4 separate regions of the Mus musculus genome follow, and regions 1, 2 and 3 are each reported to be linked to region 4. Evidence: microRNA targets listed by miRTarBase, many of them from high-throughput screens and not tested one by one. Region 4 holds a microRNA gene; each other region holds the end of a gene's coding sequence.

The links. Region 4 holds the annotated microRNA mmu-miR-206-3p (UGGAAUGUAAGGAAGUGUGUGG, at 3,806-3,827, shown strand). A microRNA usually pairs through its seed, bases 2 to 8, with sites in the 3' UTR of a target mRNA and lowers its output. Matches are read on the target gene's strand: a 7mer-m8 pairs with bases 2 to 8, a 7mer-A1 pairs with bases 2 to 7 and ends in A, and an 8mer does both.
Region 1: miRTarBase lists Pdcd10 as a target of mmu-miR-206-3p. Seed matches in the 3' UTR shown: 7mer-m8 at 6,401-6,407.
Region 2: the mRNA of Meox2 is a reported target of mmu-miR-206-3p. Seed matches in the 3' UTR shown: 8mer at 5,535-5,542.
Region 3: the mRNA of Igsf5 is a reported target of mmu-miR-206-3p. The part of its 3' UTR that is shown has no 7-base or 8-base seed match.

The regions. Positions count from the first base shown.
Region 1 is chr3:75,510,843-75,517,967 of GRCm38, forward strand. Pdcd10 (programmed cell death 10) reads right to left here. Exons shown (of 8, transcript NM_019745.4): 8 at 5,648-6,759. The coding sequence ends at 6,678. Among named protein-coding and RNA genes, the nearest start is that of Pdcd10, 42 kb to the right of the region's middle.
Region 2 is chr12:37,177,165-37,184,289 of GRCm38, reverse strand. It overlaps Meox2 (mesenchyme homeobox 2), which reads right to left. Exons shown (of 3, transcript NM_008584.4): 3 at 4,756-6,137. The coding sequence ends at 5,913. Among named protein-coding and RNA genes, the nearest start is that of Agmo, 61 kb to the left of the region's middle.
Region 3 is chr16:96,402,845-96,409,969 of GRCm38, forward strand. It overlaps Igsf5 (immunoglobulin superfamily, member 5), which reads left to right. Exons shown (of 9, transcript NM_001177887.1): 9 at 422-1,187. The coding sequence ends at 517. Among named protein-coding and RNA genes, the nearest start is that of Gm32358, 20 kb to the right of the region's middle.
Region 4 is chr1:20,675,250-20,682,374 of GRCm38, forward strand. It overlaps Mir206 (microRNA 206), which reads left to right and starts at 3,761; the gene lies at 3,761-3,833. The region is part of intron 2 of Lincmd1 (long intergenic non-protein coding RNA of muscle differentiation 1); the gene reads left to right.

The sequences.
Region 1 (7,125 bases), not on the chromosome of region 4:
TGCATTTAAGACATTTGCCGTCACTGTAACAAGTGAACCTATGCCTCTTTTAGGGGCAGTGGTGGGAACTAGTCTCACATCTTAATGCTAGAATGTGAAATGCCAACACCATGGACTGGAAACTGGTACAGTAACAAATTACATATGTGCATAGTTTTAAATGCAATTATTCCACTTGCAGACTACTCTAATGATATAACTTAAACAAAGCAGTGTTGGAAAGCCATGTAGTTTTGCAAAATACTAAGAACCACTTCCATGTCCACGTACAGACTGATCAGATAAACTATGGTGTATAATGGAACAGTGCGTAAAAATACTAAAGTTCTGTTAACCTATATGGAATTATTATTGAAGGGATGAAAAAGTAACAAAAGTATGTATGGGAAATAACGATCCCATGCAATGTTAATGTCATTGTTAAACACACACACACAAACACACACACAGAGAGAGAGAGAGAGAGAGAGAGAGAGAGAGAGAGAGAGAGAAAGAGAGAGAGAGAGAGGATTAAAGCCACTTCTAGTTGGCAGTGTACACCTGATACTCATTCCAGCATGGGGAGACTGGAACAGGAAGATCAGGAATTCAAGGGTAGCCTGTACTACAAAATATCCTTCCACTCCAAAAATAGTTAATAAATAAAAACACGTCACTTACTAGAATACCTGTAATAGAAAGAAGTTGTGGGTTGAGGAACGGTACAGGGCAAGAGTAAGGTTGTGTGTTTAGTAAAACCACAGTGCTGGGCATCTGTCATGTCAGGGTATCTACACCAAGAAGGCAGATGGAAACAGAAAACTTCAGGGTAGGATCCTGGCCAGTCAGCTTTGTACACAACAGAACACAAGAACCCATATCAAACATGGTGGAAGGCAGAGATGAACATTTAAGGTTGTCTTAAGACCTCTACATACATCTTACAGCATGTATGTCATGGCATGGCATGTGTGGTATGAGTATGCACTCATATACACGAACACACACCACCAGCATACATATTCTTGGCAGCTTGTGTGCACAACCCCCACCCCTCTGCCTGCCACATATACACATGCACTCAAAAATTTTAAAAGTTGTTAACATGATAAAGATGTGAGAAAATGTGGCACCCTCATATATTACTTCCAAGGATGTAAAACAGCACAGCTACTTGGAAGTTCTACATCAAATTACTGAATGGCAATTACACTGCTAAATACCCTCTAACAAAAATCCAGGTCTTACAGCAAGATGTCTACTTAAGTTTATAGTAGCCAGAAAATAATTAGATCTAACTGAAATGCTAACACACTTTTAGATGAGTAAAGGAAAATATGAAACATGATGGATGGCTACTCAGCAGTGAAGTACACCACATATGCTGCCATGGTTAAGTTAGAAGGCCGAGAGGCAGATGTAGAAGGCAACAGTCCACATCGTGGTGGTTTGAAGGAAAATGGCTCCCACAGCCTCATGTATTTCAATATGTGTTGGTGAAGTTCCATGGTTTAGATGTGGCCTTCTTGGAGGAGGAATATCACTGGGAGTGGATTTGAAATTTTAAAAGTCCACGTCAAGCTAGGTGTGTATGCATTCCCCTGACATGCCTCTAAACTCTTTCCTCTGCTTCTTGCTTGTGGATCAGATGTGACCTCGCAGCTAATACTCAAGCAGCCTGGCAACCAACTTGCTTCTGGTCATGATAGCCATGGACTCACCCTCTGAAAACTGTAAGCAAGCTCCCCACTGAATGCTTTCTTTCGTAAGTTACCTTGACTATGGTGCCTCTCCATAGTAACAGAACAGTAACTGAGACATGCATAGTTACAGAAAATGCCCCAAAACGGAAAACCTCTAGGGACAGAACACAGCTCAGTTTTGCCTGGAGATGGGAATGAGAAATCGGAAGAGTTGAGAGATGACACAGTCATGCCTGTTCTACGTCTGAGCTTAGGTTGCACTACTCCATATTTTAAAATCACTGAATGGAACAACTAAAATGTGTTTTGTGATACAATTTTAATCTAATCTTTTTAAGGGTAGATGTACTAGTTCCTGGGCCAGCTAAGCTTTGCCATTATACCTATTTTAGAGAAAATACATAAAGCCCTATGTGTGCTGGCTCTCAGCACTTATTCCAGAACTAGGGGCTGAATGAGAAGGCTAGTCTGATCTTCACAGTTGAGACAAAAACAAAACCCTGAGAGACTTAAGTACATGCAGGCAAAATGACTATTGTGGCTTTAAATGTTTGTCCTTTTCAAAATTCCTGCTGGGACTTTGTCACTGTAAGCTGTTAAATGGATGGAAACTTAATCCAACCATACAATTTGGCAGGGAAGCCCCTGGACATGGGTAGGCAGCAGGGTGGAGCCGAATACATGCAGCCTCATAAGGAGAAAGCAAGTCCTTGTTACTGTCGGGCTGCCCCACTGTGGTTCTCAAACATCTCAGACATCCAAGCTTCTCAAATCTGACCAAATCTCTAAGCTTAAATACATCTCTTTATAACTTAATCTGCAGTCGTGTTGTCAACAATAAAAAAGTAAGGCTAATTCCTTCTGTTTGCCCATTTTTAGTTTCAACTCTCAACATTTTGTGTCTCTTGTCCTGGGACAACTGCAGCGGTTTTACTCTCTGCATGTATGCTGAGGAAAGAGTAGAAAGGGGAGGAGGGGGATTTTGATAGGTTTCTTTTATAAAAGAAAAAATACACAGGAGGAAAACACAGCAAAACCCTAAGTGCTGAGGCTCCTTTTTTAAATGTTTCAGAGAAATGCTGAGCTGTACCCGCATGGCAAGCTTCGGTTTACTTTAAAATAATTAAATCAACAAGCCTAAGTGGCTTTCAACTACACCTTAAGCTTCAAGCCAACTGAAAAAGTAAACAACTGCATTTTCATAATCAGTAAAAGACAAAAACTAATTCATGAATGCATAATATAACATTCTTAATCTTTAGCAGGACACTGGGACATCAAGAACAAACCCTCTTGTTTAGTGAGGTGAAAAATTCTGAGACTCTGGGCTATACTCCCATGATGGACAAGTAAGTGACTGGAACTACAGAGTAAAGGGCAAAGAAATATGGAAAGATGATGACAAGAAAGAGCTCTGTGGAACTTGGGAGTTGTGAATTCATTTCTGAGAACCATGTAAGGGCACGTATACATTTGTATGTATGTAGGCATATTGGTCTGATGAATGGCCTAGATGCAATGAAAACACCCCAGATCACAGTGTAAACTTTTAGTAACTTCATTCTGGCTGTATGAAGAAATAGATGGTCACAGATCTTGGGATGCTTTTATGAAGGGTTAATTAAGGGGTGGGCGAGGTGGGGGAGTGGCAAGACACACAAACAGAAAAGAGAACTCACAGGGCCCAGGAACCACCTAAGAGCTATCTGTCAAATTTAAAATAAAATTTGCATACCAGAGTATGGGATATAAAACACTAGGAAAATATAAAATAAACAAACAACAAACAAATCAAACCCTTATGAACCCATAACATCCAAATTTAGGTGGAAACACATAGCTGGGTAAATGAATGACGGGACAGGAAAACAGGACTTCGTTTCCAAGTAGAATGTCCAATGCTGACTGGTCCATGTGGGAGCAAATGAAGTGTGGACACTATGCCCCTCCTTAGAAGTGGGAACAAAACACCCATGGAAGGAGTTACAGAAACAAAGTATGGAGCTGAGATGAAAGGATGGACCATGTAGAGACTGCCATATCCAGGGATCCACCCCATAATCAGCTTCCAAATGCTGACACCATTGCATACACTAGCAAGATTTTACTGAAAGGACCCAGATGTAGCTGTCTCTTGTGAGACTATGCCGGGGCCTAGCAAACACAGAAGTGGATGCTCACAGTCAGCTAATGGATGGATCACAGGGCTCCCAATGGAGGAGCTAGAGAAAGTACCCAAGGAGCTAAAGGGAACTTCAACCCTATAGGTGGAACAACATTATGAACTAACCAGTACCCCTGAGCTCTTGACTCTAGCTGCATATGTATCAAAAGATGGCCTAGTCGGCCATCACTGGAAAGAGAGGCCCATTGGACACGCAGACTTTGTGTGCCCCGGTACAGGGGAACGCCAGGGCCAAAGGGGGGGAGTGGGTGGGTAGGGGAGTGGGGGTGGGTGGGTAAGGGGGACTTTTGGTATAGCATTGGAAATGTAAATGAGCTAAATACCTAATAAAAAAAAAATGAAAAAAAAAAAAAAAAAAAAAAAAAAAAAAGAATTGGAAAGTCAGTGTTAGATTAGAGCAAACAGCATCAACATATCTTCATCCCCAGAGGAAGATGTTGGCATGTTCTTAAAAGCCTTCCAGAGGTCATGTACTAGTAAAACCAAGTTATATCCTACACTGGAGAAAAACAACTGCACCACAACCAAGTGATGAAAACTAGAATCACCAGTGAGGAGATGGATCGGAGCTCTCCATCTCCTCCTCATGACAACCACCAGTGCAATGTTCGGACCAACGGTACATAACTTGGATCTAGTAAGAAAACGTGAAGTGAGGAACAACTTATAGCACTGAGGCTATAAGACAGGCAAAGCATGCAGAGTATAGTGATACAGAGTGCAGGGTAAGCAACGAAGATGGCAAAAGGTATGCAGTTTTCTCTTTGAGCAACTATTATTCTTGTAAGTTTCCCGAGAGTCTGAAGATATTCCCATATGGAAAATCAAAATTATTAAAAAGGACAGCTATTAGCTCCTCATCCTACTCCCACCCCCACCTATCATTTACTATGTTATGTTGTGTAAGTATAATGGAAGGGGCGTTGGATTTCTGAAAAGAAACCACATTGCTGTAATTTGTATCCCAGTAAACTAAAAAGGGGGTTGGTGAAGCAGCCTCTTACATTCTGTTTCTGGCAATGGAGCAAAAATAAGTGGAGCGAGCACACAGAAGACGTGAACCAAAAGCTCAGCCCTCAGCTGACAGCTAAGCTCATTTCTGATTCTTCAAGTATAATGAAGATGATTAAGTATAGGACTCTGAACAGATCAATTGTACTAACTGCATTTGTCAATAGCACTCAACATAGAAACACCAGAATCATGTGTTTCCTTCCATTCTCCTCCTCAGAAGCCACGGGAAGCAAACCGTATCCGTCTCTACTGATTCACCTCAGATCTTTTAGGATTTGTAGAAATAACGGACTCTCAGAATCCGCCCTCTTTATGAACACGTTTGTTTCACTACAGTGGAAGCCAATGCAGCTGATGACAGAATAAAGAGAAGACTTATAAAAATGAGGCTGGCACCTTCTAAGAGGGAATGAAAATACAAGAAAGGCAGTTGAGACTGTTGGTTAGGAGTCTTCTACCAGTCATACACTTGTCTTCCTTACATTTTCCAACAAAAAATGCTGAGTTTTGATGAAAATACTAAAGATATTTAGCCTATGCTAAATTAATGGTTCTGCAATGGTCTTTTCAATAAACACAAATCAAATTAGGAACACACTCATAGGTTGTAAGTTCAATTATCTGTCTTTTCTGCTTTGCTTCCTTTCATACACTGACTTATATTTAACAGGGCGGTTTTATGCTGTCAAAGACAGCAATCTAAAAAAATTCACTTTCTAAAAACAACTAAATAACAAAAATAACTAAATTGTCTTATAGCAAAGTTCTGTCAACAAATTTTAATATTTCATTTCTTTATAAAACATGAACAAAACCTGATTTTCCCTTTATTTTATAATTAAAAACTCAAATCACTCAACATGAATACCGATACATAGTTTTCTTATAACTTCTCTAGTGTGAAACAAACTATACATATTTAAAGAGTATATATTATATTAACACTGATAAAAATCTCAATACAACTATTAGAATTTTTTTTTTTTAAATTGTGATTACTCTGGGGACAATGTGCAAAGCTTATTAGGGCCTAGTATAGCAGAAGTAATTTCGTGGAGCCGCATCTACCACTCAGAAAGCGTCATGAACCTGAAGTGTTACTACAGTACGAAGACCCCGTAGCTTCATCTCTCTTCTCAGGTCTATAAAGATTGGAAATAGTGAAAAAATATCCAGTTCTTGATATGTAACAACTAACAAAAGTATTTTAACTGACTACATTTTGCTCAAAGTGATTAAGGACAAAAAATAGGAATTCTTGTTCCTTTATTATTTGATAAACTGCTAGTAAGCTCCCATTAGAAGATCTTTAACATTATACCAAGTTGTCTTGGTCTTCTGATCATATATACACACACACATATATATATGCATCTTTTTTCAAGTAAAGAAATGTTTAACAGATGTAAACTATTTATTGAATATTTGCCACCAAATATTGTTAAATACATTATCTTGCAGCATATCGCTTTCAAGTTAAAATGTCAGAAACAAACACCAATATTTACAGTTCTTGTAAGGAATGTTATATAATGACACATTAAGGCGTAAATTCTTTTGGCTTATAATTCTTAAAAGAATGATAATAGCAAAAGTGATGCAAAATCTTCATTGTGAGATTATGATTAAGCTACATTTTACAAAAATATGGTGTAAGATGGCAATAATCCCATTCAACATCCTGGATTAGGTCCCTCCGGAGGGACTGATAATTTATACAGTCAAACTTTAAAATTTACAGATAAATGCAGTTTAATACTGCCACTGAGAAGTACATCTCTTAACATATACAACTTTCAGGCCACAGTTTTGAAGGTCTGAAGTATCAAGTTGGTTTGATGAATTAGCCGGTTGGCACTTATGAACACATTTATTGCCCTGTTTAAAAAGAAAAAGAACAATCATTAATTTCATTTTTCAAATTCACTATTTAAACTAAAATATTTATAGTTAATGTTATATTAACGGTAGCAATAAAATGAAAGGGGGAGGCAAGTAAGTTCTGAGTACTGTAAACTTTCATTCCAGTTGAGAATTTAATGTGGGTTATAAACTATAGCGTCTAGGAACCACTGCCCCCTGGTGGTTCTGACTGGCAGTAAGGGGTTGTAGGGTTGCTACCCCTTAACCATTTACAGGCTAAACAGATCACTGGTCAAACAGGAGGATTCAGATTGTTTTCAGCTGTACAAAATAAATACAATTTAAAAAGAATTTTGTTAACAAAATAAAACCTGATGTGCT
Region 2 (7,125 bases), not on the chromosome of region 4:
CTGGGAGGGTGGAATAGAATAGATATCACATAGATATTATGAGTGGATGGGGTTAGGTGGAAAGAGAAAAATCAAGGAGCAGTTAAATGAAGATAAAGAATGATGAGAGAGATGCCTGGAATTGGAAGACCATTCCAAAGCAAGTTAGAAGCCCAGGGCAACAAAAACTCCCAGGGTTTTATTAGGTGGCCATAGCTATTAATCCTAGTAATGGGGTATACAGAGCCTGAATAAGCCATTCCTCATAACCAGGCAAGACTTTCAGTGCAGTTGCTGGGACACCAATCCACCCACAAAAACTTCCACCTGAAATATGTCCTGCCAGCATGAGGTGCTGGGGAAAGGTGGCAGAGAAACTGAGTGGCAATTTAATGACTGGTCCAGATTGAGACCAATGCCACAAGAGGGAGCCAGTTCCTGACACTGCCTGGTGAACCAGAACACAGAGGCATGATTGCCCTGAGACCTAGGATAGAACCAAATACAAATATGCCTGGGAACCAAAAAAAGAAAAAGAAAAAGAGGAAAGAAAGAAAAAAGAGAAGAGAAGAGAAGAGAAAAGAGAAGAGAAGAGAAGAGAAGAGAAGAGAAGAGAAGAGAAGAGAAGAGAAGAGAAGAGAAGAGAAGAGGAAAAGAAAAGAAAAGAAAAGAAAAGAAAAGAAAAGAAAAGAAAAGAAAAGAAAAGAAAAGAAAAGAAAAGAAAAGAAAAAACTTACTTTTATATACTGGAGGGTGCCATAATCACAATCAGAAAGACTCTATCCAGAAACAGATGCAGAAACCAACAGTCACATATAAGGTGAGAGTCAGTGAATCATGTAGAAGAAGGGAAGGAAGGATTTTAGAAGCCAGAAGTGTCAAGGATACCACAAGAAAAAACCCACAGCATCAGCCTACCTGGACTCATCAGGGCCTTTTCCATTCTAGATATGAGGATAGGTACCTAGTCTTATTAAACTTGATTTGGTTTGGTTGATATCCTTGGCATGCCTACTCTTCTCTGGGGGGAAATGGAGAAGAAGTCATTGGGAAGGGACTGGAAAGAGAGGCGGGAGGAGAGGCTGTGTTTAAGATGTAATATATGAAAGAATAAATTAATTTTAAAAACTTTAAATTGACAAAAATAAAATAAATATTGTTTTCAATATTAAGGTGTATATTTTGAAATTCAGAAGCCAGAATGTTTATAAGGGACAGATAATTTTCTAATTTTTCCTACTCAGATTTTATTATAGCAATAATTTTTATATACTAGAAATTTTTCATTAAATGATGAATTTTATTATCAAGATTGATATCTATATGCCTGCTTTCTCATCTTTCTAAAACATAATGTTTTGGGTAATAGTACAGTTTAACCTCACACTCTTAGTTATGTCTGCTTGCACTGCAATCAAGGAAAGATTACCACAAGATACTTACCAAGTGTCTTTTTAGTTTTTCCAATCTACAATTCAGTGTTTTCTCAGCTGCAGAGGTATTGCTCAGAGGACAGAACACAGACTTTGTCAACATTTTCTCTATTTTTTAATCACTAATCCAATCTATTAGACCATATATACATATATTTGGCCATGAAATATTCCATACTCTAATGCAGGAAAAGTCAAATAAAAGTGGATTCTACACTAAAAAAAATGAAAGTCAATAACAAGTATTAATAGCTCAGCTAAAATAACAGTTCGTATCCAACATTTAATCAACTCAAGCAAGTCATAATTTATTTAAAACCTATATCCACCAAATTAAAAAACCTATAATAAATTATTTCATCTACTAGTATGTTAAAAAGAGGTGTACATAATTTCAAGAAAATATAAGCACATCTAAGCTCTATGATTACCTTTAAATTTAAAGAAAATATGTATGTTCATCCCTAGACTTATATTTACAAAGGAGAAATTATGTTACCCTGAATATAAGAATGCTGTAGATTAACCTACTCCATACCAAGAGATATAGCAGTTATACTATGAAGTCATTGTGATAAAATGACATATGAAACATTTTCTTATATGAAAATTGTCTCTAGAAAACAAACTGTATTTTGTCAAGATATTACTGAATATTTTGTAATGTTAAAAGAAGTTTTTCTGGATTTTTTTTATTATGGATTGAAATTAGACTTGAGTAAAACAAGGTCAGCTTTTTAAAAGAGTAATAAGATATATAAGGCATATGTTTAAAGTATTTTAAAGCAACTTAACTGTCAAAGTATAATTATAAAATGCATGATAGAAATAGATAATAGAAAATAGTTTAGAGGTCAGGTGGGGTGGAGAATGGGGGTGGGGACATCCTCACTGAGACAGGGGAGTGGGGAGGAATTATGGGGTGTGGAACAGTCAGAGGGTGGACTGGGGGTGGGGATAAAATCTGGAGTGTAAAAAAATAATAAAAAAGAAAATCACAAACACAAAGAAAAAGGAAAGTTTAAAAATTAAATTAACATTTTCTAGTGCCTCATTATTTAGTAAGGCAATCATTTTTCTTTTTCACTTTTATTTTTTTGTTCACTTTGTTTAACTGCATTCGGTAAGAGCTGAAAAAAAAATGTTCAAATTGTCGAGAGAAAAAAAAAGATTATTTTGTTACCCCAGCTATTGTTGGACAAAAATAATGTAAATAAAATTAACTTAAAAACCCATGTTCATAATGGCATTTGGGATCAAATCTGCAGAAATCTCTGAGTAACTTTGGGAAGTAAAAACTAATTGGAGTCATGTTGATGGCTTGCAGAAACTATGCAGTATTCATTCCTTCATTCCTCTGAGCCCTGCTGGGAAATCACCCTGATCATCACACCTAAATGTCATTTCTAGAGGAAAGTGTATTTATTCTGACTCATGGGCTCTGAGAAGGAATTACATGAGAATCCAGGGCAGTATGTAATAAAATATCATATCATGAAGAAGAAATCTATCTATCTATCTATCTATCTATCTATCTATCTATCTATCTATCTATCTACCCATCCATCCATTTATCTATCTATTCATCTATCCATCCATCCTTTCCACAATCCCTTTTATCTTGATCATTAACAGGTCTGGAAGATCTTAGTTGATATTTCACAATACTTTAATTTTCCTAAAATATTTAAATTCCAGGAAAAGAACGAAGTCTATATGGTTTATGCATCATTTTCAAGGTAGGCAAATACTAAGATACTGAAAAATATACTAAGTTCCAATTATTGTCTGGGGGGGGCATGTAGCTCAATATTAGGGAATTTATGTACCTTATAGACAGTACTGAATTTGATACTCAGCAATTGACTTCTGTCTCCAGTGGATCATTTGAATCCATGTCAACAACTTGTCCTTTTGATCAACATATGACCTTCCCTACTTGCTTCTGTGGAATCAATTTTTCATTTTAGGATTATTCACAGGGAAGTATATTCCATCCTACTCTTGCCTCATTTCATTTGTGAATATCTTGTGTATGTAGAATAATTACCATTATAATGATTGTATTGGTCATAATAAGCTCTAAGTCTGATTTATAAGTGTTTTAGTTTCACAACAAACCTTATTGCTCTCTTTGGTTACGTCTAACTTTCAATTTCTCATTATTTTCATGCCTAAATGAATTATTTCATACCCTTTTCCAATTGAATTCAATTTGATTTGTATCTTTCTTTTACCCAATTTCTCAAGATATTTCATTTTGAACTCAATTGTAAAATAAAAAATGTCAACCCACCAAAGTATATATTAGCAACACAAATATACTTTATATTCATTCAAGTGATTGATAAGAAAATATGTTTATGACAATGAAAATGATATATTTGTCCATATTAATTCAGAAATATTGTTCTATAGTGAGATGAAAATTATTGCACAGATGAAAAAAAAAGTGACTTTTTCCCTGAATACTATTGGTATCACATTAGGATAAATTAAATTAAACGTGTTTTACTAGTTTAATCATTCTAAAGAAAATTCATCAATCACATATTGTTTATTTGGTCGAATTTTTACTCTTTTAATATAAGTGAGGACTGGTAATATTCCTGACTCCTTCTGAGTCAAATGAATAATGAACCAAAAGCAAGGTGATAAAGTGATAATAACAGGGGTTTGTCATCCAAGGTCCTGACACCCTCTTAGATGTGACACTGGCTGTGCAATGAGACACCTTATTTTTCTTCTATCAACAATGTCTGTTAGAAGTGGGGTTCTTTTTACGTTTGTTCATCTCATATTTCACACCAAAGCTAGAGATCATGAACGTGAAGCATCTATTTGCAGACTGGTCAGGGAGTTCAATGGTAGGGCATATATCTACCGCGAGTGAGTTTTTGGGTTTCTCACTAAGTACTGAAAAGTTAGATAAGTATAAACTAAAAGTGTTGGGCTAATGCCCATGCATTACCTATAGCTCCTGTAATATGTTTCCATTTCATTTACCTAACATTGCTCAGTATATATATGCCTATTCTTACAAATTTTATGCCATAATAAAAACCAGAAATTATGAATCTTATTTCATAACTCATATCCATTTAGATTTACACAGAAGCAAACAATTTGGAATCTTTTTAAGCATCTATTTTTTTCAAATCTACTAAAATTAACTAGACATGGTTGATCCAGTCTATGATTCTGGCACCTGGATGACTGAGACAAGAGATTGCTGAGAGGTCAGTGCCAAGCTGAGTCACCTAATGACATCTAGACCAGCCTTGATCCCAAATAAAAGAATAAATCTACCAAACCCAATGAAGTCACAGTGGCGAGACAATAATTATTTCAAGGATCATTTATTTATCTTTTTTTTTTTACAAAATACAAGAACTTGTTCTGCATGAATATAGAGCATATGAAAAATAATGCACTTTCAGAGTCTAATTGTCAGACATTCAGTTTCTCAACTATTCTCTTGAAGAATTAGCTTTGTTTGGCACTTGGTTTTATATCATAAACAAGGAGGAAGAAAGCTTTTCCCTGTTAATTGAATCAGACCCATAAACATTAACAACTTAAAGATGTAAAATCAGACATTTGCCGCACAAGACTCGTTCTGCAAGGTAACTGATTTGCCTATGATCCTAATGTCTTTCAAGATATAAGAGAAGAAGGCTGGAGGGGAGCTAGGTATGTTCTCTAATGTATCTGCAGCAGTTGATAGTCAATGCAACAGAAGATTTGCTTTGTCTGTGGTACAAGGATATGTCCTATCAGACTCTACTGCATTTTATCTACTTGAACACAAGTAAGCACATACTGATTTTCTCTGTCTGACACAAATGTATAAAAATACAAGAAGCTGGCTGTGTTTGTCAATGGAAAAGCCTATTTTTAATCAGCTAATATGAATGCATTTGCTAAAATTAGTGAAGACAGGAAAAATGACTTAGGGGTAATATATACAGAGTTTCAGTACATTTTATATCCACTTGGTGATTTCAGGCACTGTGGCTGTTCAAGATAAACTATTTCATGGATTAACTTGATAGCAGTTTAATTTTCAGTGCAAGCAAAAGCAAATACCTGCCTAGTGTCACACACATGACCTGGCACAACTGGAATGTTCAAAGCATTTTTTATTTTTAACATCTTCACTCTGGAGACATCTTGAGTAAAAACGTCTTATCAAGTTTGCTCTTGGTAGCAAATTTAATTTTCAGTGCAAGCCAAAGCAAACATCCATCTCCCTCTCTGTCATATATAGGAACAAGTGTATTTGGAATACGTTCGCTTTCTCCAATTTCACTGTGGAAGCATCTTCAATAAAAGGCACTTAGTGTAAACCGTCTATCCATCATGAGACACAGACTCGAGATGCCTGCATTTAATTATACTAAGCCACACTGCCACAGACATCTGCCATGTAAACGATGTTCGGTAAGGTTTGCCATCACAATGGTGCTTTCCTGAGAATGGAGCTGGTCTTTGTAGGTATCATAAGTGTGCGTGCTCAGAGCTGTGGTCACTATCGCGGCTGTCCTCGTTTGCTAGTGAGTCCCCTGTCTGCTGGAGGGTGGCTGCACCGATTCCTGACAGCTCTGACGGAAGAAGCGTTCCCTTTTTCACATTCACCAGTTCCTTTTCTCGGGCAGCAGCTCCTTGCTGTCCCCCTTTGACCCGCTTCCACTTCATTCTCCTGTTCTGGAACCACACTTTCACCTTCAAAGAGAGGGAATAAGTAAGTCAGCAAAGGCAATAGGACCTAGTTGCTCAAGTGCCTGCGCACATACACCATGATGCAGCAATTAGAAAAAACAGGCAGGATTGCAGTGAGTTAGATTGCATGTGCGTAGTAATGGAAAAGGCTTAGTACATTCAAAGAATTATCGTAAATTCCAACACATAACACAAAGTTACAAATAGGCGAGGAAGTTTGCTCGGAAGCATTGGAGTGGAGTTTCTCATCGATCAAATAAAATATTATGTTTACCTCTATCAAAGTTTACACATTCTCTGAAATTCATCTTTGACTTGACAGTAGAATTTTTACAGGTTTATCTGCTGGTAAATCCACCTCTGAAAGCGCACTATTTACTACGAAAGTCCCTTAACTTGGAAAGGCATGAATTATCTCTCAGCACATCCTTTCAGATCGGCGGGGGGCATGGGGGGCATAATTCACCTCAGTAAAGGACCAGATGCTCCTGATTTATATGGAATGGTGTCCCAATAAAACTATCGTGAAGAAGAGTCTCCAGCCCACCACGGCTAAACTGGGGACTGTCTGCAGGACCTAGCACAGTTGGTTTCCTGATACTCTACAGGAAGTCTGTCTTTACTGGTCTTCTTTCTGCTCTTGCCTTTATTAACGTTTACTTCAGAAATATCATTGAACTGTTGCCAAAGAATGCAGCCACAGTAAAAATTCCTCAGTATTTACCTTGCATCCCCCGCCCCTGCCCGGGTGAATACCCAGAAACTTCCTCAAAGGACTCAAGAGAATGTGACAATCCACCTCAGTAAAAAAAAATTCATGAATTCATATTGATTAACTTATTTCACAAGATCTAGATTTGTCAGCACTTTTTTTTTAATACTAGGACTACTTACTATGTCCTTATTTTGAGATTTTTAAAAAACCTCAGCTAACATAAAAGCATCGCCATGTTTATGATCACTTGGCTTCTTTTGTTTGGTATTTTTCCTT
Region 3 (7,125 bases), not on the chromosome of region 4:
GGAGACACGGGGGTGGTGTTTTTCAGCTCAGCACTTCCATTTTGCTTTTGCTCTTTTAGAAGGAATGTGTGTGTTATTTGAAGATGTTCATAAATATCTTATGTTTAAAAAGAAAAAAACACCTACTAGGTAAAGCAAGAACTTCCATGAGGAGATTAGAAAACAAAGCAAAACATAAAATCTTTGCATCTGTAATTTGATTTGGTAAAAATGAGTCTTGGATTCTTAGAATGAGCTTGCTCTTTGGGCTTGGAAAGCACCCAGAGCGTGTGTTGCTGAAGAAAAGGGAGGAGAGGGCATGTCTCTGTACAGTTGCTCATCCTTGTTCCCAGTGCATCTTCCCAGGTTAGTGTCTCTCAGACGAGCACAGTGCCTGGGGCCCAGCCAGTTAGCACACTGACCCTTCTACCTTTGTTACCAGGAACTCAATAAACATCAGCCCGGTCCAGCAACTCATCCACGGGTTTCCTTTGACATCGCCAGTCCTCAGAAGGTCAGAAATGTGACTTTAGTGTAATAAAGACTTCTCATGACTGTACTTGGTGCACATCCACCAAGTCAATGCCATTCTCTTCCGTATCCTGAGACTGGGTCTCAGTTTTGCCAAGGAGTCTGCATCGGAGTCACCGGAGCTGATGGTTAATAGTGACAGGAGGAATCAGTTTCCCTGTATTCCAAGAAGTATTTGGTTTTGAGATGTGTCATGATTTTGGTGAATTCCTCAAGGTGGCCGAGTAAAACCCAAGTGTCTGTCATGGTGGCATTCCTCATGACTTGACACTCCTGCCGATCCAACGAAGGGCAGATATAGATTCTGCAACGACCTTCAAAATGCTTCTGTTGTCTGAGATCATGGTAATATGGTCTTTATGTGTACTTCGCAGCTAGGGATGTTACTGAACATTATTACAGAAACAAGAGCCTAACAGCTAGACTCAACTGCATCTTGTAAGTAACTGGCAGCTGGAGCTCAGGGATGCAGTAAGAGGAGAGGCAGTGTCAGTGCACAGGTCCCAATGCTCTCCGCAAGACAGTCATCCCCATGTGCGCCCTGATCCTCGTCACCACAGTTGTAGGTGAATTAGGCGTGGATTCTGCCTGATGAGGGACAAAGCTCACATTCTGCCAGCATCATGAAAGAACTGGAGAGAGACATATACTATTTAATAAACAAATGAAAAGCCAAACACCTTGTATTATCTTTTTCGTTCATTGTATTTTTAATTCATTCTTTGAGAATTTCATAGGTGGACACAATGTGCTTTTATCCATTCTGTGATAGTAAAGCCTCCTCTGACTCCTCCCAGACCTCCCAACTTCCCATTCCAACTTCATGCCCTCTTCGTTTTCAACCAGTTCTGCTGTATATGGATGGTTGTGGGGGGCCGTCCACTGGAAAATGGACAACTTACCAGGGGCTAACACTTCCACATTGAAGTCCATCACTAAAAGAAGCCAAGACAGGAAATCAAACAGGGCAGGAACTTGGAGGCAGGAGCTGATGCCAAGGCCATGGAGGGATGCTGCTTACTGCCTTGCTTCTCATGGTTTGCATAGCCTGCTTTCTTATAGAACCCAAGACCACTAGCCCAGGGATGGAATGGACTGGGTCCTCTCCTCTTAGTTAGTCAGTCACTAACTAAGAAAATGCCCTACAGGTTTGTCTACAGCCTAATCTCATGGAGATAATTTTCTTAATTGAGGCTTCCACCTCTCTGATGATCATACTTGTGTCAAGTTGACATGAAACTGTCCTGGATGCCTTCCATGCTGTGATATTGACTGGCTTGGTCTTGTACAAGCCTTGTCCAGGCAGTCATCACTGCTGTGAATTTATAAGTACAGTGGTCCTGCTGGGTCCAGAAAGCAATGATTTTTACCAGTCTTCCCTGACATCTGGCTCTTCCAGTCCCTCTATTCCCTCTTCTGTGATGGTTCCTGAGCCTTGGCCAGCGAGGGGATGATACAGTTGCCTGTTTAGGATGAGCACTCCACAGTCCCTTATTCTCTGCATGTGGACTGATTATGAGTCTGTATTAACTGCTGTCCACTGTGTGAGGAGATACCTGTGGTGAGGGAGGGATGAGAATTGGTGCTGCCTTTTAAAATTATTATTTTATGTATATGGGTGTTTTACCTGCATTAATGTGTGTGTATCACATGTGTGCGGTGCTCATGGATGCCAGAAGAGGGCATCACATCCTCTAGAACTGAAGTTAAAGACTAGCTGCTAACTGCCATGTGGATGCTGGGCACTGAACCTGAGTTCTCTGGAAGAGCAACCAGTGCTCTTAACTACCGAGCCATCTCTCTAGCCCTGGTGCTGCCTTTCTCAATGCTAAGATTTTGGGTGGTAATTCCAAGAAGGAAGTTAGGAGACCTTCTCGTCCCATGTAAAATTAACATGGAGATTAGGATTCAGGATGAAATTTCTGCCCTTTCCAAATCCCTTTTACATCTAGGTATGCTCAATGAATTTCACCGCCTGCATATGGTACACTCACATTTAACCCAGAGGCAGGACCATTATTTTGTGATACAAATGGGTTGGTACAGATTTCTCTGCTGGCTAGCAATCACTCCCATGTTTAACTATGCTACTGATAAGGTAGAATTTGACTTTTGACATATGTCAAGACTATTCCTGTGAAGACTAAATAAATGTCTATTCACCTTAGATAGTGAACCTACAACTGACCAAGGTATGGATAGCACCACAATCCAACTTGGGGGACCAATGAGTTTTATTGGGGCTACTTACAGAAATATGGGGGAAGGATTACTTACAGGAGCAGAAATCACTCTGGGACAGCCACATCACAAAAGCCTACCTCAGCGTGGGTGATGGCTCACAAGATCTGAAAACTTGAGACTCACTGCATCACCCACAGACAGCTCAAGAGGCTACAAAGTGCCCTTTCCAGGTTGTTGGGTTTATCTGAGCCTCTTGCAGGCAGCTCAGCTTTTCTGAGAGTAACTCTTAGCAGTCTCTACCGCTTGTATACTCATGGGAAGGAGGACCTGGTGAATCTGATCAATTTCAGGGACTCCTTGGAACTATTCTGAGTTGTTAACTTCCTGTCTTAAAAGTTTCACTGCCAGATTGACCCTCCAGTCAACATCCTGTCTCAAGAAGTTTCCTTCTAAAATGGCAGGTTTTCATCATGGAGGAAACTGTGACCTAACCATAGATTCTAGTGAATTCTGTGAAATTATTCAATGAAGGATCGAGATGGCATTCCTTGTCACTCAGTGCTTCTGCTTGTTGCAGAGCCACATAACACTACTTAAACTTAAGTTTTAAAAAACGAAACGAGATAAAAGATCTTTTCCCTCAGCTACATCAGCCCATTTCAAGTGGTTGATAGTCACTCATGACTAGTACTGTACACGCAGTCAGATGACAGGTTTTTGTTGTTGAAACAAACTCTGTTGGACAGAGATGAGAGAGAATGAGAGGAGAGGGGGGTGAGGAAGGGAGGGGGGAGGGAGGGAGGGAGGCAAGAAGGGAGAGAGAGGGAGGAAGGGAGGGAGGGAGAGAGAGAGAGAGAGAGAGAGAGAGAGAGAGAGAGAGAGAGAGAGAGATAGTTAGTTGTAAATGACCTTGACATGTCATGGGCTCTTCCACCAAACACAATCTGTGTTTCCCTCAGTGTGAAAGCCTGCAGTCGACCGGTTTCTATTTAGGGATCTTGCAAACCTCAAGGCAGCTCTCAGCTCAACGTGGTGTTTTGCTGATGTGGTAAAAGTGTCTTTCACTCTGCAGACAGTTGAGGCAGGCTCAGGGGGCTGGGGTGGGAGGAGGCAATCAGCAAATGACATAGACAAGGTCGTTTCTCCAAAACATAGAAGAGGGTCTCTGGTGATGAATGACTGATAGGGATGCAAATCTAGTTAAATGAGCGTCCCCCAAAGCCTTGTTCCATTGAATCCTGGCTAGGAAATGACCCCACTTGACTTCCTGGCTAGTTTTGAACTTGCCTGATCTTTCCAAGGCCTCATGTAGCTGACTTAGAGCAGCAGGACTGAAGTGGTGATGCCAGTCCCTGAGGACAATGGGGAGCCTTTCTTCTCTGTGTGGCTCTGCAAGGGAAGAAGGCGAGGGTAAGATGATAAACAAAGTCTGAGCAAGATGGAGCACACCAAGGGCCTTTACAAGGAAAGGCTCTGGTGTCCTTGGATTATGCAAACGAGAAGGCCTGAGAGGACTGGCAGGGCAGTAGAGTTGGCTAGACCTGTATAGAGCAGGCCTTGTGGTTGTTGGAGGGACATAGCCAAACCATGGGAATCTGCCCTGAACCAGCCCTAGCTGGAAGCCAGATGCCCTGTAAGCTCATTGAGGTTAGGGTTAGTGTATAAGTCAGTTTCTGGGGAGGACTGAGCTGGGTGAGGTATACAATGGGTGTGGGTGGACAGGGAATGTCCAGGGATCAAGGAATGGAGAGTGCATTTGTGAAGAAGGAAGGAAATATGCTTTGCCTAGCAGGTGCATGGCTCCTCTCCCTAAAGGATAAGCCATTTGAAGTGCACATCACCAGGATGCCCTAGGCATGTACCTTCCTTGATTGAGTAGCTCAGGCCCTTTGATGCCCATGTTCACATTCACAGAACAAGGAGACAGAATGGGGATCCTCTGAGATGCTCAGAGATGCTCATACCCACAGGCAAGCCGGCACCAGCATCCGTCCTATCCTCTCCCAGTGTAGCCCAGTGAATACCCTTCACCCTGGCAGTACCGAGGTAGGTATTTCTACAGATGGCAAATCTTTGATTCCCTCCAGCTCAATCTGGAACCCTTGGGCACAGAGGCCTTGACTAAAGTGTTTGTGGTTTGTGGTGGTGGCTTGAGTCCTAAGCAGCTCCCATTACCTTCTCTATGCTGCTGGGAGCATGTGCCATTTCTAAAATATGCAATGGGATAGTGAGCACTGGGGCCCTAGGCAGATCCATGAGAACTATTGCCCAGACAGCAGCTTCAGGCCGAGAGATTGATGTCTTACCTCCTAGTAATACTGGGTTGACACAGCGAAACTTCCAGAAGGCTCTGGTTAAGTCTGTGGAGGAATGCAGGCAACCCAAAGGTGGTGTAACCAAAATGTGTTAAATATATTTTTCTCTAGAAACATAAATAGCGTGTGTGTGTGTGTGTGTGTGTGTGTGTGTGTGTGTGTGTGTGTGTGTGTGTATTGGACCCTATTCTGCCCTGGTTTGGACCTTGAGGACAAACCTGAGCCTGGCTCGAGTTTTGAAAACTGTCTCAGTCACTTCTGTACTGGAGTGACTCAGCATGGCCTGCTTAAGCCTGCCTTTGCCTAGCTACTGCTGATGTAAAATAACTTTGTTGGCTCTGTCAGTCACCCATTTGTCACCCTTCTCCTACCCCTTTGTCAGCTCAGCAACACCCCCCACCTCCTTTCTCAGCCCTTTATAAACAAAAAGATTGATACAATTAAATGAGTTCCTGCTTCGACAGACTCCCCACGCCATGTGGTTATTCTCTGGATGGCAGGAGATCAACACTCACCATCCCACTTCAGCCCCCAGGAGAGACTTGGCTGGAACGGGTTCTCTCCTCTCAGCCTGGACCTGCCAACAGGCACAGAGCTGGCATGTGTGTGTGTGTGTGTGTGTGTGTGTGTGTGTGTGTGTGTGTAAAGTTTTACAGGATAGCTTCATTTGCAAACAGCCAGGCAACAGTTTTAAATTTCATGGACAATAAAGTCTGAGGCAGTCCAACTAATAGAAGCAACTCTAAATAAAAAACTAATTTTAAAAACTGCAAGTGATGGAGTCCCTATCCCACCTCCCCACCTTCAGAAAGGACAAGTCAGAAAGTTAGGAGCAGTGTAACAACTGAAGGCTCCTATCATGAGGGTAGCAAGGATGAAAGTTTTGTCTCCTTCCTGCCTCCTGGCACCTTCACGGTTTGTGTGTGCATTCAGCTCTGTGTGCTGTGTGCCTGTGTATATGTGTGTGCTTGTGCATGAATACATATTTGATAGGTGCATATGTATATGTAGTGTATGTATTTATATCTACATACCATGTGTATGTGTACTTGTGTGTACATGAGTGTATCCATATATATGGCATATGCATATTTTTGTATGTTAATGTATGTGCTATGTATTTATGTGTACATGTGGGCTCCAGTTTGCCACCCCAGCTTCAAGTCCAAATTGCCTTTCTGGCCACCAAGGACAAAGAGGTTCCTCTCTGTCTACAGGGGTGTTGAGTGACTTCTTTCCTGTCCCTCTGATATTCTCTCTCTCTCTCTCTCTCTCTCTCTCTCTTTTTCTCTCTCTCTGCATATATACATTACAGCTCAGTCTTCATGAGGGTCCCCCAACAACTGGAGCAGGGAATGTTTCTTTTTAAAAATATTTTTTATTATTACATATTTTCCTCAATTACATTTGGAATGCTATCCCAAAAGTCCCCCATACCCCCCCGCCACTTCCCTACCCACCCATTCACATTTTTTGGCCCTGGCATTTCCCTGTACTGGGAATATATACTGGGCATATAAAGTTTGCGTGTCCAATGGGCCTCTCTTTCCAGTGATGGCCGACTAGGCCATCTTTTGGTACATATGCAGCTAGAGTCAAGAGCTCCGGGGTACTGGTTAGTTCATAATGTTGTTGCACCTACAGGGTTGCAGATCACTTTAGCTCCTTGGATACTTTCTCTAGCTTCTCCATTGGGGGCCCTGTGCTCCATCCAATAGCTGACTGTGAGCATCTACTTATGTGTTTGCTAGGCCCAGGCCTAGTCTCACAAGAGACAGCTATATCAGGGTCCTTTCAGCAAAATCTTGCTAGTGTATGCAATGGTGTCAGCATTTGGAGGCTAATTATGGGATGGATCTCTGGATATGGCAGTCTCTAGATGGTCCATCCTTTTGTCTCAGCTCCAAACTTTGTCTCTGTAACTCCTTCCATGGGTGATTGTTTCCAATTCTAAGAAGGGGCAAAGTGTCCACACTTTGGTCTTCGTTCTTCTTCAGTTTCATGTGTTTTGCAAATTGTATCTTATATCTCGGGTATGCTAAGTTTCTGGGCTAATATCCACTTATCAGTGAGTACATATCATGTGAGTTCTTTTGTGATTGTGTTACCTCACTCA
Region 4 (7,125 bases):
AGCCCCACATGGTATGCATACCTAGTCACTGAATTAGTAAGGAAGATATTAAATACTACTATTATTAATAATAAAACAATTTTTTAAACTAATACATGCTCACAGCACTTTACACTTCCCAAAAGTCTCTCACTGGAGTTTCTTGTTGCATAAGCATTATTGTTCCCATGTTTCAAATAAGGAAACTGAGGCTATAATCAAGTCCCGGTCTTCACCCTCATACCCGTTGCATCCAATAACCTTGGAGATTACAGCACTGTGTTGGTCTGTAATCTGCTCTTCTCCCTGGCTCAAACCATTCCCAATTTTCTCAAAATCTCAGAAATGTTCCAAAGACTATCACCAGGAATTCACCATCCTCATGTCCTTGTAAGTCAGTGTTTGTACTATTTGTGTTCTACTACACAAATGTTCAGCTCAGGAAAAAAAGACAAGACAAGACGAGGAGAGGAGAGGAGAGGAGAGGAGAGGAGAGGAGAGGAGAGGAGAGGAGAGGAGAGGAGAGGAGAGGAGAGGAGAGGAGAGGAGAGGAGAGGAAAGGAAAGGAAAGGAAAGGAAAGGAAAGGAAAGGAAAGGAAAGGAAAGGAAAGGAAAGGAAAGGAAAGGAAAGGAAAGGAAAGGAAAGGAAAGGAAAAACTACGGCTGTTGCTTATGATTTTGGCACCACTTTCACTGTTGCTTAAGTCCTGATGCTTCTCAATACCCTTGCTTCGTTGAAATGAGGGAAGAACACCTTAGAATTGGAGGCTTTTATGAATTAGTCAATTGTGGGATCGAGTTGGGTGGTGGAGAATAAACCCTGTTTTCAGTATCGTGCTGAGTGACATATTATCATTAGCTTGTTCTCTTAAGACACTCAAGACCTTCACGTGGTATCTCATTAATCACCAATCACCTTTTGGTGGGCAGATGGGGCTCCTCAACCACTACTTTCAGATAAATATCCTGGGATCTGGCTATAGATGAGGAGAAAGGTGGGTGTTACCAACACAACACAATGTACAAGTGACTGGATGACACACCTAGTCTCCCAAGTCTCCTCAACACCACCCATCAAAGGCATAATAATATAAAGGCTAACATAAAGTAATTAAATGATCTGGAAACACGTAACACACAGTTTCTTTATCAACGTTCTTTGTCAACCGCAAGGAAGCGTGTGTCTTTATGTTCTCCATCTTACAACCCTTCCCGCCATTTTTTTAAAGATTTATTTATTTATTTATTTATTTATTATATGTGAGTACACTGTAACTGTCTTCAGACACTCCGGAAGAGGGAGTTAGATTTTGTTACAGATGGTTGTGAGCCACCATGTGGTTGCTGGGATTTGAACTCGGGACCTTTGGAAGAGCAAGCAGTCGGTGCTCTTAACCACTGAGCCATCTCTCCAGCTCTTCCAATGCTATCCCAAAAGTCCCCCAGACCCTCCCCCACCCACCCACTCCCATTTCTTGGCCTTGGCATTCCCCTGTACTTAGGCATATAAAGTTTGCACGACCAATGGGCCTCTCTTTCCACTGATGGCCGACCAGGCCATCTTCTGATACATATGCAGCCAGAGACACAAGCTCCGGGGGTACTGGTTAGTTCATATTGTTGTTCCACCTATAGGGTTGAAGACCCTTTTAGCTCCTTGGGTACTTTCTCTAGCTCCTCCATTGGGGGCCCTGTGTTCGATCCAATAGCTGACTGTGAGCACCCACTTCTGTGTTTGCCAGGCCCCGGCATAGTCTCACAAGAGACAGCTACATCTGGGTCCTTTCAGCAAAATCTTGCTAGTGTATGCAATGGTGTCAGCGTTTGGAGGCTGATTATGGGATGGATCTCCGGGTGTGGCAGTCTCTAGATGGTCCATCCTTTTGTCTCAGCTCCAAACTTTGTCTCAACCTTCCATGGGTGTTTTGTTCCTCATTTCTAAGAAGGGGCAAAGTGCCCACACTTTGGTCTCAAAGTCATCTTTGAGAGAAGACAACATCTCCTTTGACCTGAGTAGCCCGCTACAGAGTTATCTGTCCCTGGCACTGTGCTTTGGATAGACCAATCCACCAAATGTGCAGGAAGTTTGGCCATAGATTCCCTTACATAAAGCTTATGCTTAATCCAAGAAGAATGGTATCCTTTCAGAGCAGAAAGAATCTTAAACAGCCAATAGATTACATTAAGTGAATTACTGGATTGTTCCCTGTGTCATGCAGAAAGATTTTGACTAGTATGCTAGTATGCCTGGATCATTTTCCTACACACCTAAGGGAGGGAAACACACACACACACATGACTTCTAAATCAATGCAATACCAGCATACCAAGCTCAAAACTGCAGAAGGATGAAAATGGAATATAAAACCTTTGTGTCCTTCCTTCTTTCCTTCCTTCCTCCCTTCCTTCCCAACACCTCTTACCTTCCAAGCTCTCATAAAGAAAGCCTGGACTGATCCAAGGCTGTTCTTCCAATCTGGTTTGATTTTTCTTTTTTTTTAATAATTTCCATTTGCATATAAGTAATTTAATTCACTTCTAGAGCCATATCTTCATGTGTAAAACCAGAAACAAGCGGGTAAAACAGTTTCACATAGATATGAGGATTCAAAGAGCTGGCATAGGGAAGACATTGAAAATGATCCTGTCATATAAAACTTATCTGAAAAAAGTTACTTTTTATTATTATTAAAAAGTTATTATTGTTTGTTGATTGTATGAAGCAGCCCTCACAGAGCTATGAGCCAGTTCGGGACCCTTCTTCTCCTCTTAGCTTGCTTCTCTATTTCCTGACAGAGAATTCTATGCCAAGAAGTTCAAACCCTTAATTTTCCCCATCCAGGGTGATCAGTCAGACCCTGAATGGCTCAACAGCTGCCAGTGTCCATTCATCTCCTACAGCCCAGGCCTCACAGATTGTGACGCAGGTGATTGGCCACGAGCAGCAGGGGCTGAACAAAAAAAGATCCCTTCCACAATGAACAATTGTGTTGGAATGCTCATCTGGCAGCTGCAGCCTGTCAGCATATTCCAAGCAACCCAAATAGGAAGTACAATAGCGCCTGGGCCAGCCTCTAAGCTGAGCAGTTCTCCACATGTTACCCCTGTTTTAATGTTCTATTAGTTCCATAATATTAAGGAGGAAGAGGGGAGGGGGGATGGGGAGGGGGGAGGAAGAGGAGGAGGAGGAGAAGGAGAAGGAGGAGGAGGAGGAGGAGGAGGAGGAGGAGGAGGAGGAGGAGAAGGAGAAGGAGAAGGAGAAGGAGAAGGAGAAGGAGAAGGAGAAGGAGAAGGAGAAGAAGAAGAAGAAGAAGAAGAAGAAGAAGAAGAAGAAGAAGAAGAAGAAGAAGAAGAAGAAGAAGAAGAAGATGAAGAAGAAGATGAAGAAGAAGAAGAAGAAGAAGAAGAAGAAGAAGAAGAAGAAGAAGAAGAAGAAGAAGAAGAAGAAGAAGAAAAAGAAGCATTTTCAAATCCACCCTGCAACCTGCACCCTGGTAATTATAGTGATAACACAGGTTGCCTGGCCATAACTACGCTGAAATCTCTAGTGGCCTTTGGGGGAGCCTTGGGGTCCTTGATCTCAGACTGAAGTGTATAGGGGGAAATTTGTTCCCAACAAGCTCTGCCTGTTAGGCCAAGATGGCACCTTACTCCAGGATAGTTTCTGGGAGTGTAGAATGGATGAAGTCAGGTCCCAGAGATTCTTCACACTTCTCACTTGTGCAAGGAAGAAAGCAGCTTTTCCTTCTGCGTGACAAGTGCCTCGGAGGACACAGCTTCCCCAGGCCACATGCTTCTTTATATCCTCATAGATATCTCAGCACTATGGAATGTAAGGAAGTGTGTGGTTTTGGCAAGTGCTTCTTCAAGGCCGATGGCTCCACCCAGAGAATATGCTGTTGACTTCTTCGTTCCTTGGCTACATTTTCTTACCTGCAGGTGCCCTCTTCCCCAGAAATCTACCTCTACAGACTTCTCCCACAATACTGGGTTTCAGGTCAACTATGCTCCCCATCCTAGCCCCTTTATACCAACATCCTTCACATCTACTCTCAGGGAATCAGCTCCCGGGGTCCTAGTTCCTTCCTCTGCTCATATGGCTCCTGCAATGGATGTTTCTACCAAGCAAGCTCAGGGATAGTTCATGGTGCCAGGTGTGTGACTTGTGTTATAAACAGAGAGTATACAACTACTGGGCTCTGAAGAACACCACCCTGGTAGAAGGCTCCACATCTCCTGGCCCTGCTGCTGTTCTTTCTACTTCACAACCCCATGTCAGTGTGTTGCTTCTGGGTCACACTGTCTGAAGAAAGATGGGGGTCCTAAAATAGTGCTGCAATCATTCAGTGGCCTAAGTTCCTTTGTTCTCAACCCAGTGCCCTGTGTTCCCAGTTCTGACTCTAGTGTCTAAGCTCATGTCATGAAGGAGGTAGACTCTAGAGGGAAACCGAGAAGAGGCGCTGTAGTGATATGCCAGATGCAGGCTAAGACTCCATTAAACATGCAGCCTGAGCTCTTACCCAAAACAAAATGAAGCACCATGGCATTTGAAGACTGGCACCATGCCCAGAAGCCCAGAATGGCAAAAAAGGAAGATAAAGGATATGTGTATTTCCTGGACCCTCAAAAACATCAGCATACCGAACACACTGGGCAGTGTTCATACTCCCAAGTGAGATGCAGCCACACTGGGGACCACTACATCCCTCTTTCAGGAACCAGGTAGTTCCCTAGCTACCATCATGAGCATGCCACCCTATTCTTCTGGGGATAGGTGAGAGTGTGGAACAGGGGTGGTGGATGGGGGGAGATTAATAGAGAAGGGCCAGTTAGAGGACTGAGCATAGGATCGTACCACTGTGGATCAGTTCCCAGGAAGTGGGTAATTTGGAAAAATTGTTGTCACACTTAGGGTATTCCTGGTGTCTAGGGTGTGGAGACCAGGGGTGCAACGAAGCATGTATAGTGTACAGACCATCTCCATAGCAAAGAAGTACCCAGGTCAAAATGTCAATGTGTGAAGATCGAGAAAACCTGTATTTATTAGTATGGTGTCCGACACTGGCATTTTCCAGGAAAAAAAATCTCTGTCCTTTCTGTTTTAGACTTCAGTCTTTTTTATATAAAATATCTGATGCTTCAAACTGAACTTCTTTCCATTGACAGCCTATCTTTTTTTCTAACTAGCCCATGGATTTTTTTTTCTACCCTGGTGTTTGGTTTCATGTCGTTCTGAAATCAGAGATATGTTATATAGATGGCTGTGTTGCTGAGGCTGGATCAAAAGACATGGGCAAACACAAGGAAAGAGTTGGGGGAGCTGTGTTCAGAATTCTTTTTCAGAAATAATCTCAGACAGCCAGGCTGTCTCTGCCCCTGCAGTTGCCTGGCTTCTTGTTCCCTAACATAAGCTGTGGACAAGATAGACATGGGAGGAGATAGAGGGCAGGAGTCACAAGACGCCTATCATTAGAAAAAGGACAGTGGAGAAGGTAAGATTGTGACAGCCAAGCCAAGAAGATTCACACCAAGGAGGTGTGGCCCAGGACACAGAGGAACTTTAGTACTATCCTAGAGTCACACTGTATTTTGTAATGCTAATTTCTCTCATCACAACATTCATACATGATAGGTGTGCCTTTATCCAGTTGCCTTTTCTGCAGTGCCCTGTTGGGTGCTTTAAAGTATGAGGTACCTTGATGATTCGAGACAGGCCTCTCTAACTAGAGTCCATCTGGAAGAAGCCAGGCACCTGGCTACCTCACTTCTAAACGTGTCCAGTGGATTTTAACACATTCACAGATAAGTATAAATTCTTGTTGATGAGTGATGGGGCACACTCTCTAGGCAAGATGGAGTTAAAAGTGAAGTTTTGGCCTCAGAGGCAGGCATAATTGCCCCTCAGACTCTCCTACAAGCCTTGCTAGTCTCCTCTGTGTACCCTAGGAACTTAGAACACCCTTCATTACTATCAAAATTCACAAGAGGCAAACTAGGCATGTTTTCCACAGTATAGACAAACATGCTGACCTGTCAAGATGCTACTTAACACCTCAATACCAAACATCATTATATGATATTTCTCAGTATCAAATTCTCAATATCAAATAAATAATTAATAAATAGATAAATAATAAATAAATAAATAAATAAATAAATAAATAAATAAATAAAATCAAGAATGCATCAGTGGATTTTGAACCCAGAAAATTTCAGGATGGTTTTGTTTGTTTTATTTTGTTTTGTTTTTAGAGACAGACTTTCTCTGTGTAGTGTTGGCTGTCCTGGAACTCACTCTGTAGAACAGGCTGGCCTCAAACTCAAAGATCCATCTGCTTCTGCTTCCCAAGTGCTGGAATTTTAGGTGTGTGCCACCACTGCCTGGCCATACTTTCTTCTCAATGACTTCTATTTATCAAGAAGAAGAAAACATGTTAGCCAGTAACTAGCCCCAAAGGAGAAAGTTGGTTTTCTGCAAGCACTCAACTATCTTTTCGGCCTACATCTTTCCTCTCCTTATGCCAATACCTTATGGAGATAGCAAGCCATATTTTCGGGGAGCCTTTCCTTCTTACCTACACTTGATCTCACTTTACTACTAACAAGCCGAAAGCAGAGGATACCCCTTCTATTCAATGGTTCTCAAACTTTAGATACCTCAGAATCACTGGGAAAGCAGGGTACATGAGTTTGGGGACCCCACTCCTGGGTATGTCAGGGTGGTAAATGTTACTTTTCGCTTAAAAGGTCAACTTGTAAGTTCTTACATACTGGAATCCAGACTTCTTCATGATCTACAAGAACCAAAAATGCCTCTGTTTCCCTCGATAGACTCTACTAAAGTCAGTTCCACCCATTCTTTCAAACCAAAGGACTGTGATAGCTATTACTGGGAGAAGGAATGAATATAATATATTTAAATAATAAAAAAACTGTCAAACAATGTAAATTAGTGAATTGTAGTTACCATATTCATATGAATGAGCCTTACAGATATCATGTAAGGTAAAATTAAAATGCCACAGATAAATATTTATAATATTAAAATATATTGATTCAGAACATGCATAAATGAGAAAAGCTATAAAGAAAAACATCTAAATTACAAGAAAACAAGAAACTCAGTATCATAGTTACTGTATATTC